Xenopus tropicalis: one gene and its partners. The protein of the gene in region 1 interacts with the protein of each later gene in a biochemical or structural test. Links are inferred from orthologs where the notes say so. Each region holds a gene or a part of one and is shown on either strand. Other genes may lie near its edges.

Evidence for each region.
Region 2: the proteins of fbxo7 (region 1) and cdc34 form a complex in vitro, tested with the Homo sapiens proteins (2 studies listed by BioGRID, with this or other methods). The link is inferred for Xenopus tropicalis from reciprocal best matches to the Homo sapiens genes FBXO7 and CDC34.
Region 3: of the proteins of fbxo7 (region 1) and uxt, one has a biochemical effect on the other in vitro, tested with the Homo sapiens proteins (2 studies listed by BioGRID). The link is inferred for Xenopus tropicalis from reciprocal best matches to the Homo sapiens genes FBXO7 and UXT.

The regions. Positions count from the first base shown.
Region 1 is NC_030679.2:7,492,963-7,496,175, reverse strand, and holds part of fbxo7 (F-box only protein 7), read left to right. Parts: intron 1-698; 5' UTR 699-717; coding exon 718-839; intron 840-915; coding exon 916-1,189; intron 1,190-1,862; coding exon 1,863-2,078; intron 2,079-2,156; coding exon 2,157-2,298; intron 2,299-2,774; coding exon 2,775-2,858; intron 2,859-3,213. UniProt on the Homo sapiens protein: Substrate recognition component of a SCF (SKP1-CUL1-F-box protein) E3 ubiquitin-protein ligase complex which mediates the ubiquitination and subsequent proteasomal degradation of target proteins and plays a role in several biological processes such as cell cycle, cell proliferation, or maintenance of chromosome stability.
Region 2 is NC_030677.2:105,629,771-105,633,522, forward strand, and holds the start of cdc34 (ubiquitin-conjugating enzyme E2 R1), read left to right. Parts: upstream 1-1,082; 5' UTR 1,083-1,239; coding exon 1,240-1,422; intron 1,423-3,752. UniProt on the Homo sapiens protein: E2 ubiquitin-conjugating enzyme that accepts ubiquitin from an E1 ubiquitin-activating protein, and catalyzes its covalent attachment to other proteins by an E3 ubiquitin-protein ligase complex. In vitro catalyzes 'Lys-48'-linked polyubiquitination.
Region 3 is NC_030684.2:1,338,410-1,342,161, forward strand, and holds the end of uxt (protein UXT), read left to right. Parts: intron 1-1,057; coding exon 1,058-1,165; intron 1,166-1,547; coding exon 1,548-1,611; intron 1,612-3,082; coding exon 3,083-3,133; 3' UTR 3,134-3,528; downstream 3,529-3,752. UniProt on the Homo sapiens protein: Involved in gene transcription regulation. Acts in concert with the corepressor URI1 to regulate androgen receptor AR-mediated transcription. Together with URI1, associates with chromatin to the NKX3-1 promoter region.

The DNA of each region.
Region 1 (3,213 bases):
GCAGGGGCTGATGGGAATGTGATAGGGACCTTAGATTGTAAGCTCACTGGGGCAGGGGCTGATGGGAATGGGATAGGGACCTTAGATTGTAAGCTCACTGGGGCAGGGGCTGATGGGAATGGGATAAGGACCTTAGATTGTAAGCTCACTGGGGCAGGGACTGATGGGAATGGGATAGGGACCTTAGATTGTAAGCTCACTGGGGCAGGGGCTGATGGGAATGGGATAGGGACCTTAGATTGTAAGCTCACTGGGGCAGGGACTGATGGGAATGGGATAAGGACCTTAGATTGTAAGCTCACTGGGGCAGGGACTGATGGGAATGGGATAGGGACCTTAGATTGTAAGCTCACTGGGGCAGGGGCTGATGGGAATGGGATAGGGACCTTAGATTGTAAGCTCACTGGGGCAGGGACTGATGGGAATGGGATAGGGACCTTAGATTGTAAGCTCACTGGGGCAGGGACTGAAGGGAATGTGATAGGGACCTTAGATTGTAAGCTCACTGGGGCAGGGACTGATGGGAATGGGATAGGGACCTTAGATTGTAAGCTCACTGGGGCAGGGACTGATGGGAATGATGCAGAATATGTCGGCGCTATATGAATAAAGGATAATAATACAATATGTGTTGCCTGAAGCGATAGCCAATCAGAAGCCGCTCGTGTTCCTTTACTGAAGCCTTTCTCTTCCCTCAGGGACGCGCAGCCAATAAGAATGAAGCTGAGGGTGAGAGTGAGGAAGCAGACCAATCGCTTAGAGCTGGAGGCGGAGAGTCCGACCCTGGGAGACTTGCGCAGTAAATTATCCTCCGTCACCCTGCCGGCTCTGGGCTACAGGTAATGCGCTGCCCCCCTGGGAACAGACATACAGCAGGGACACTTACCCTTTAATTATTATATCCTTCCTTTGCAGCACTGAGGCAAATTTCACCATCACACTGAATGGCAAAGATGCCCTGACTGGGGATCAGAACACTCTGGAGTCTGCGGGGATCATCTCCGGGGATCTGATTGTTGTGGTACTGCCGGACTCTCAGCTGCCCCCGCCGCAGCCAGCTCCTGCTCCGGCCCCCGATAAGCGGGATCTTGGCTGCCCCCTGGTGGATCCCAGCCAACCCTGCAGCTCGACTAACAAGAGGCCCAAGAGCCAGTCAGATGATAGCACAGGAGCCCAAGCCATGGCTCAGGTAATGTGTGCTGAGATACTACTGGTAGTACTGGTATTCCTGGTTTACTCAGTAGTAGGGATGGGTGAAATAATTCTCTACTCAGTAGCCATGGGGCATGAGACATGGGGCATGAGACATGGGGCCGGAGACATGGGGCAGGAGACAAGGGGCATGAGACATGGGGCCGGAGACATGGGGCAGGAGACAAGGGGCATGAGACATGGGGCAGGAGACAAGGGGCATGAGACATGGGGCATGAGACATGGGGCTGGAGACGTGGGGCAGGAGACGTGGGGCAGGAGACGTGGGGCCGGAGACGTGGGGCAGGAGACGTGGGGCAGGAGACGTGGGCAGGAGACGTGGGGCAGGAGACGTGGGGCTGGAGACGTGGGGCTGGAGACGTGGGGCAGGAGACGTGGGGCAGGAGACGTGGGGCAGGAGACGTGGGGCAGGAGACGTGGGGCAGGAGACGTGGGGCAGGAGACGTGGGGCAGGAGACGTGGGGCAGGAGACGTGGGGCTGGAGACGTGGGGCTGGAGACGTGGGGCAGGAGACGTGGGGCCGGAGACATGGGGCAGGAGACATGGGGCCGTAGCCATGGGGCAGTAGCCATGGGGCAGTAGCCATGGGGCAGTAGCCATGGGGCTAGAGACGGACAGGCTTATCTAATGCCCATTGGTTTTGCTGCCAGGCTGCCCAGCAAGCCCCTCCCTCAGCGGAGGACGTGGCCATGGAGGATGGGATGTCGGGCCCGGCCTGGGAGGTGATGCTCTGCAGCGAGGCACTAGATGGGAAAATCCCCCACTCCCTGGAGGTTCTGTACCAAACTGCCGGCTGCACCGGCGCCAGCGACGCGTTCATAGTCGCCATCCACCTACTGATGCTGGAGACTGGCTACTTACAGAAGGTAGGGAGTCAATATGGCCCCCCCCATCCCAGGGATCTGTGATTGGTGGGTCGGTAACCCTTCCTTGTCCCCCCCCAGGGTGCTGAAAGCAAGGTGCTGTGTATGCCGCAGGATTGGCGCAGCGGGGGGGCCTACAGGCTGCACTACACTCACCCTCTGTGCGCTGAAGTCTCGGCCACCTTGGCTTGTTTGCCGATGGGCAAGCTGGTCATAATCAATGGTGAGTATTACTTGTACTTTATCCTTCCTCTTCCTCCCAGTCTGCCAGCCCCCTGCCTTCATCTGCTGTCTGTACTGCCCCCTGCTGTGTGTGTGGCACAGGAGCATGTTAAAGAGTTAGTGCCCCACCTAGTGTACATGCATTGCATTGCAGCCTTGTATTAAAGCTCCTTCTCATTGCTCTGGTATATTCCCCCCCCCCATTCTGTTTATAGGAACCATGTGACACCAGGTCACCCATAGCACCTATAAACTCTGAATTCTAGGGTGACAGTTGCTCTTCCTGTTTGTATTCATTGCCTACAGCAGGGGTCCTCAAACTTCTTAAGCAATGGGGGGGCCAGACCACCACCTACCCCAGGGGGCTGGAACCGGCCCGTGGGCCACAGTTTGAGGACCCCTGGCCGACAGCATAGGCTCACATCTTGTTGCAATATGGCTGCCGCCATCCTCATTTCTCCTCTTTTGCACGTGCAGCCACCCTGAAGATTAACAGCGAGATGAAAAGTGTGCGGAAACTTCAGCTGTCGACCAATTCCTACATTTCCTACCCCGAGACAGGTACGGGGCAGATTCCGCCGGTAAAGGGGGTGCGGGGGCCAAAAAAATTGTCAGGAAAGGGTTAACGGATGAAGAGCCGGGATCAGAAGTTTATGTCTAAACACAAGAGCCATGCGTTTTCTGTAAACGATATCCTTTTAAATGGTGCTCTGTGATGTCATCAGTTATAATTGGTGCTCAGTGATGTCATCTGTATCACATGATGTGTTATAATAAATAAGGTACCCCCTGTTGTAAAATAGTCACCTTATATTCCGTTCCATGATCTGTATAAAAGCACTCGGCCTTTGGTGTTGTGCCTTTATATGGGCACAGAACCCCTCAGTGACTGCTAATATCCTTATCATTTACAGTA
Region 2 (3,752 bases), on another chromosome or scaffold:
AAGCACACCCTGTGACTGTTGGGAGCCTGCTGAATAATAAGTAGTTTCATTATATGTATATGAAAGATATTATTTCTAATTTCAAGGTGTGCCAAAATGATTTTTCAGGGCCTAGTAACTTCTACTTATGCTACTGTTTACAACACCGTACATGGAGTAGGAAGCAACTAGTCTTTAACTAGTAGTAGTGAAGTGGCATTTTACAAAGTGTAGCACCGGCCTGATGGAAAGTGTTGGGGGCACCCAATAAATTGCCACCCACTGAATCTAAGTTTCCCTGTCCTTTAAAGTGCACCTATGACCCTTTAACTGCTTCTCCCACCAGAGGTGCAGGCTAATAGACGCAGCACTTTGGTTGAGGGAAAACGATAGTTTGGTTTTTAAAAAATACAGCAACTGCCATTTCTAGGCTGCCCGCACCTGAATGAAGCTCCCAGTACAGGCAACCATGTTGTTTGCCATGCGTGGGCATAATAAATGCGCCTTTCCACTTGCAGATGATGCGCATGCGCCTGATCTAGGCGTGGTGGATGCAATTCACCCTCCATCACAAGCATGCACATAATAAGCAACTTGTGGCACTCACTCATTATGCACATTGTGAGAAATGAGGCAATATGGCTGCCCACACCTGGAGCACTCTTCTGCTGCAGGCAGCCTAGCAATGGTAGGAGCTTTTTTTTTTTTCACAAAAAGCTATTGTTTCCCTAACCTCTGATGAGGGAAACAATTTGAGGGTGATAGGTGCCCTTTAAGGTGAGCTGTATTAGAAGGTTATATTCTAGGAGATTAAAGGATATATTCACTGTTCATTCAGAAACTTTGTGTCAAGTTGAAGTTTTCTACTGCACTACTAAATAAAAGCTCTGTAAATCACGTTTCCCCACTAGAAACCAACATCTAGCTTTGTTCCCATCAGCCTCAGCAAGACCCCTCCTTCCTCCGCTCAGATTACACTTCCCTCGCACCAGTGCGTCACAGTGTTCGTGGGCTTGTGGGATTTGTAGGCTGCTCCTCCCACAACGCCGTGGCTTCACTTGCAGTTTCCGGCACCCGTTACTCTTCCAGCCAGCAAGTTAATTCGCAAAGCGGCTCCGTTGTGCCGTAACATGTCGTAATAAAGCCTTTAGTCGTCTAGCAGCCCCTTCTTGCTAAAACACCAAAAGCCTACTGATCCCATCCTGCCCTACGCGGAGGACGCTGTGGGCTCCTGGTTAGAAAGCGGGGAGCGGAACTACCATGGCCCGGCCGGTGGCGCCGGTGCCCAGCTCTCAGAAGGCCTTGATGCTGGAACTCAAGGGGCTACAGGAAGAGCCGGTGGAGGGGTTCCGGGTCACCCTGGTAGATGAGGGGGATCTGTACAACTGGGAGGTGGCAATCTTTGGCCCCCCAAACACCCTCTATGAGGGGGGGTACTTCAAGGTGAGGGTTAGGTGTGTGTGAAATGGTGGAGTTCGTGATCATAGGGGCCTTGGGGAGGGAAAGCCACGCTGGGGGGTATTTAAAGAGGCAGTAAGTAATAGAGGCGTGGGTGGGTATTGCGTACATCGCTGGGCCTTTCTGCACAACAAGCTTTCCTTTGTTTATGTGACTCCTACAGCCATAGCCGTAACTTGCCCGAAACTAATGTTTCACATGAAACTCAACCAGCCCTCAAAGCTACCCCAAAACTAAAACTTACTGAAAGAGTGTGGCACTACTAAATCTTTAATCCTGTTTTCTGCGAGTTGTAGTCCAACAACAGCTGCTAGGCCCCAGCCACAGGATGCACGGTGTTAGAAAGCAATAAAGGCCTTTGTGTAACAGGAAAACGCTCTAAACTCTTCATCTAACTTCTGATTTGGCACTTTGTGTTTGTGGAGATACCCTGGGTTTATATGTATTCATCCTGTGCCTATTTCATAAAGATTTTCAGAAGATTAATCAAACATAGGCGTTCCACTCTTTTACATTTTAGTATGCCATACTAGCTACATGTATGAAGCCTCATTCTTTTAAGGATTAAAGGGGTCTCTATACTTAGTTTTGGGCAGTTTTGTTAAGATGTGCCTTCTATAGTGTGTGTGTATATATATATATATATATATATATATATATATATATATATATATATAATATTAGTTTCAAGGGACTACTTATTCCTAGACATTTGCACAGATCAAGAAATTTAATAGGGGTTTATAATGAGATGTTAAATGGCTAGAACAATGTAATTGTGTTTTACAGGGGTGGTTCACCTTTAAGTTAACTTTTAGTATCTTATATAAAGACCTATTCTAATCAACTTTTCGAATATTCTTCATTATTTGTTTTTCATAGTTTCTTAATTTATTTGCCTCCTTGTCCTAACTCTTTGCAGCTTTCAAATGGGGTCACTGACCCCTGAGCCAAAAAAAAATCATACTAAAAAGTTAAGTCAAAGGTGCACAACCCCTTTAAAGGGGTTGTCCACCTTTTACTTAATTTTTAGTATGATGTAGAGCGTAATATTCTGAAACAATTTGCAACTGGTTTTCATTTTTTATTTGTAGTTTTTTTTAATTATTTCAGTTTTTGGTTGTCTCCAGCTTGGAGTTTCAGCAGCTATTTGGTTGCTTGGATCCAAATTACCTAAGCCACCATGGTGTGATTTGAATAAAAGACTGATATATAAATACGAGAGGGCCTGAATAGAAACATAAGTAATGTACAATAACAGTTAAACTATAGCTTCGCAGAACAATAGTTCTTTGGCTTGGGGGTCAGTGACCCCCCTTTGAAAGCTGCAAAGAGTAAATAATTCAAAAACTATGAAAAACATAATGACTAATTGAAAAGTTGCTTAGAATTGGCCTTTCTATAACATACTAAAAGTTAACTCAAAGGTGAACCACCACTTTCAATATATGTATAATATACATATTATTAGGGATACACTGAATCCAGGATTTGTTTCGGCGTTTGGCCAAGATTCTGCCTTTTTCAACAGGATTCGGATTCAGACGAATCCATGTGCCTGGTTGAACCAAATCTGAATCCTTAAAATCACTATTTCTTTATGTAAACCCAGAAGTTGAACATTTTTATTCCTTTTATAGGTTAGTTTTCAAATGCAAATTAGAGTTTGGTTCGGTATTAGGCCAAATCTTTTACAAAGGTTTGAATCATAAAACTCTGGAATTGGTGCATCTCATTATCCAGCCTCCCTGGAACTGAAAACAGACCTTATTTTTTATTTACTTATCATTAATCTGATGACAGCTGAGCTTGCTTACCCATCATGCAGTTCTATAAGTATGAGATCTATTATTCTGAAAGCTTTTGGACATAATTCAAATCTTTTATTGGGGCCTCTTGCATGATAGCCACATTCAGAGTGCCAATGCACCCTCATTCAATAGGATTTTCAAACTTGCCGTATTGAAAATTGATCAGCTATTGGTCAGACGGGCCCTATACACGAGCCAATAAGCTGTTAATTTGGCCTGGAGGCACTGACCTAGCAGCTTTTATTGGCCCGTTTATGGCCTGCTGAAGCATTTAAAAATAAAAACCAAGATGATCTTTTAGCCAGAAACATGGATTTATGTTAGCTTAGTTATCATAAAGCACAAGATACTGTTTTATTGTTACTACAGAAAGAGAGCAAACAAGTAAAAAATTAATAAATTACACTTTTTTTTTTAATAGACTGAAATTTGGTTGATCTACTCTTAGATATGTTGCTTGAGAACCATTATTTTGTGCTAATCGGAGCTACGGTGTGTTATAAC
Region 3 (3,752 bases), on another chromosome or scaffold:
CTTGTTTAACTGGGTATAACCGGGCACCCTGTATAACGGGGGTATAACCGGGCACCCTGTGTAACGGGGGTATAACCGGGCACCCTGTGTAACGGGGGTATAACCGGGCACCCTGTGTAATGGGGGTATAACCGGGCACCCTGTGTAACTGGGTATAACCGGGCACCCTGTGTAACTGGGTATAACTGGGCACCCTGTATAACGGGGTATAACCGGGCACCCTGTGTAACTGGGTATAACCGGGCACCCTGTGTAACTGGGTATAACTGGGCACCCTGTGTAACGGGGGTATAACCGGGCGCCCTGTGTAACGGGGGTATAACCGGGCGCCCTGTGTAACGGGGGTATAACCGGGCGCCCTGTGTAACGGGGGTATAACCGGGCGCCCTGTGTAACGGTATAACCGGGCGCCCTGTGTAACGGGGGTATAACCGGGCGCCCTGTGTAACGGGGGTATAACCGGGCGCCCTGTGTAACGGGGGTATAACCGGGCGCCCTGTGTAACGGGGGTATAACCGGGCGCCCTGTGTAACGGGGGTATAACCGGGCGCCCTGTGTAACGGGGGTATAACCGGGCGCCCTGTGTAACGGGGGTATAACCGGGCACCCTGTGTAACGGGGGTATAACCGGGCGCCCTGTGTAACGGGGGTATAACCGGGCACCCTGTATAACGGGGGTATAACCGGGCACCCTGTGTAACGGTATAACCGGGCACCCTGTGTAACGGGGGTATAACCGGGCACCCTGTGTAACGGGGGTATAACCGGGCACCCTGTGTAACGGGGGTATAACCGGGCGCCCTGTGTAACGGGGGTATAACCGGGCGCCCTGTGTAACGGGGGTATAACCGGGCGCCCTGTGTAACGGGGGTATAACCGGGCGCCCTGTGTAACGGGGGTATAACCGGGCGCCCTGTGTAACGGGGGTATAACCGGGCGCCCTGTGTAACGGTATAACCGGGCGCCCTGTATTCCAATGCCCTATGAGGGCTCCTCCTAACCCCTCCCCCCATGTGCTACTTTGTTGCTGCTTCTTTATCGCTCTCTCCCCCCCCAGGCCCGACTGTTCCAGGATCTTCGTGGCTTTGGGCTTTGGGTTCTACTTGGATCTGACGCTGCCGGAGGCGCTGAAGTTCATTGAGAAGAAAAACAAAATGCTGACTGAGTAAGGATGCCCCTCCCCCTGGCACAGAGGCCCCTCCCCCTGGCACAGAGGCCCCGCCCACACACATTGCTGATTTTCATTCTTCTCCTTCAGACTCACTTTCTGCCACTGAGGTGATGCGCTCATTTAATATGCTAATTTGGAGTGGGATTCCTTTGCTATTGGCTGGATGTTGGGAGGAGCTACAAGCAAGGGGGGGGGGTGCGTGTGATGTCAGTATATACACCCCTGGGCGCTTAGTATTACCCCCTCCCCAGTCTACTGTCCGCTGCAAGGGGGTAGTTACTGCTCACTAGTCTGTCACTGCTGGTTACCCCTAATGCACAAACTGCCCGACACAGGGGCGCCGCCCACCTGTAATCTCTCCGCCCCTCTCTTTCAGGGTAAGCGACAGTTTGTCTAGGGACGCCGCGAGCATCAAAGCCCATATCCGACTGGTACTGGAGGTGAGTCCGGCGCAGGGGGCGGAGTGTATGGTGGGGGGAGTATATTATCTCTTATCTCAGCCCCTGCCCCAGTGAGCTTACAATCTAAGGTCCCTATCACATTCCCATCAGCCCCTGCCCCAGTGAGCTTACAATCTAAGGTCCCTATCCCATTCCCATCAGCCCCTGCCCCAGTGAGCTTACAATCTAAGGTCCCTATCACATTCCCATCAGTCCCTGCCCCAGTGGAGCTTACAATCTAAGGTCCCTATCCCATTCCCATCAGTCCCAGCCCCAGTGAGCTTACAATCTAAGGTCCCTATCCCATTCCCATCAGCCCCTGCCCCAGTGAGCTTACACTCTAAGGTCCCTATCCCATTCCCATCAGCCCCTGCCCCAGTGAGCTTACAATCTAAGGTCCCTATCCCATTCCCATCAGTCCCTGCCCCAGTGAGCTTACACTCTAAGGTCCCTATCCCATTCCCATCAGCCCCTGCCCCAGTGGAGCTTACAATCTAAGGTCCCTATCCCATTCCCATCAGTCCCAGCCCCAGTGAGCTTACAATCTAAGGTCCCTATCCCATTCCCATCAGCCCCTGCCCCAGTGAGCTTACACTCTAAGGTCCCTATCCCATTCCCATCAGCCCCTGCCCCAGTGAGCTTACAATCTAAGGTCCCTATCCCATTCCCATCAGTCCCTGCCCCAGTGAGCTTACACTCTAAGGTCCCTATCCCATTCCCATCAGCCCCTGCCCCAGTGAGCTTACACTCTAAGGTCCCTATCCCATTCCCATCAGCCCCTGCCCCAGTGAGCTTACAATCTAAGGTCCCTATCCCATTCCCATCAGCCCCTGCCCCAGTGAGCTTACAATCTAAGGTCCCTATCCCATTCCCATCAGCCCCTGCCCCAGTGAGCTTACAATCTAAGGTCCCTATCCCATTCCCATCAGTCCCTGCCCAGTGAGCTTACAATCTAAGGTCCCTATCCCATTCCCATCAGTCCCTGCCCCAGTGAGCTTACAATCTAAGGTCCCTATCCCATTCCCATCAGTCCCTGCCCCAGTGAGCTTACAATCTAAGGTCCCTATCCCATTCCCATCAGTCCCTGCCCCAGTGAGCTTACAATCTAAGGTCCCTATCCCATTCCCATCAGTCCCTGCCCCAGTGAGCTTACAATCTAAGGTCCCTATCACATTCCCATCAGTCCCTGCCCCAGTGAGCTTACAATCTAAGGTCCCTATCCCATTCCCATCAGTCCCTGCCCCAGTGAGCTTACAATCTAAGGTCCCTATCCCATTCCCATCAGTCCCTGCCCCAGTGAGCTTACAATCTAAGGTCCCTATCCCATTCCCATCAGCCCCTGCCCCAGTGAGCTTACAACCTAAGGTCCCTATCACATTCCCATCAGTCCCTGCCCCAGTGAGCTTACAATCTAAGGTCCCTATACCCAGTATGGGGTAGAACTGAACTCTCTATGAATGTTGCGTTTCAGGGTCTGCGGGAGTTGCAGGAGTTGCCGGATGACACAAAGGTGCCAAGTTGACGGAGGGCAAATAAAAGGGAACGCGCCGCTCTGCGCGCCGCCATGTTGGGTTTGGCTGGTTTCTGTACTGACTGTGTGGCCCCCGCCAAGCTCCGGGGAGACTGTGTGGCCCTCGCCAACTCCGGGGGCTGCTTCTCACTGTAGATAATACACGCTGCACGTGTGACACGCCCGAATTGGGCACGGAGGCAGCTCTTTACACTGGGCTAGGCGGGGCTATTGCATCCCGGGCACAGAAGTGACGGGGTTAAGTCAAACTGGGGTTCTGGGCATAGGGAGCCCCCTGCACTTGTGGCCCCCAGACACGGCTAAATGTGGCCCCTGAATGTGTTGTATCATTTGCTCTTATTTACAAATAAAAAAAAAACAGTCCGACTGTCAAGCTTAACCCTTAACCTGCCTCACTACCTACAGAACTAAATGGTCAGACCCCGCCCCCTCAGACGCTCGGTCGTTAACATTGTGTGATATGAGATAAGGACTCTGGGTTCCTGACCCCCAAACCTTACCTGCACCCCCGCCCCTAACCGGGGACCCGCCCCCAACCCCTACATGCCTCTGGTTCCAAGTAAAGGGGACCCCTGGGAGCGGAGAAGGAGTAGGGGTGCACTTCCCCAGT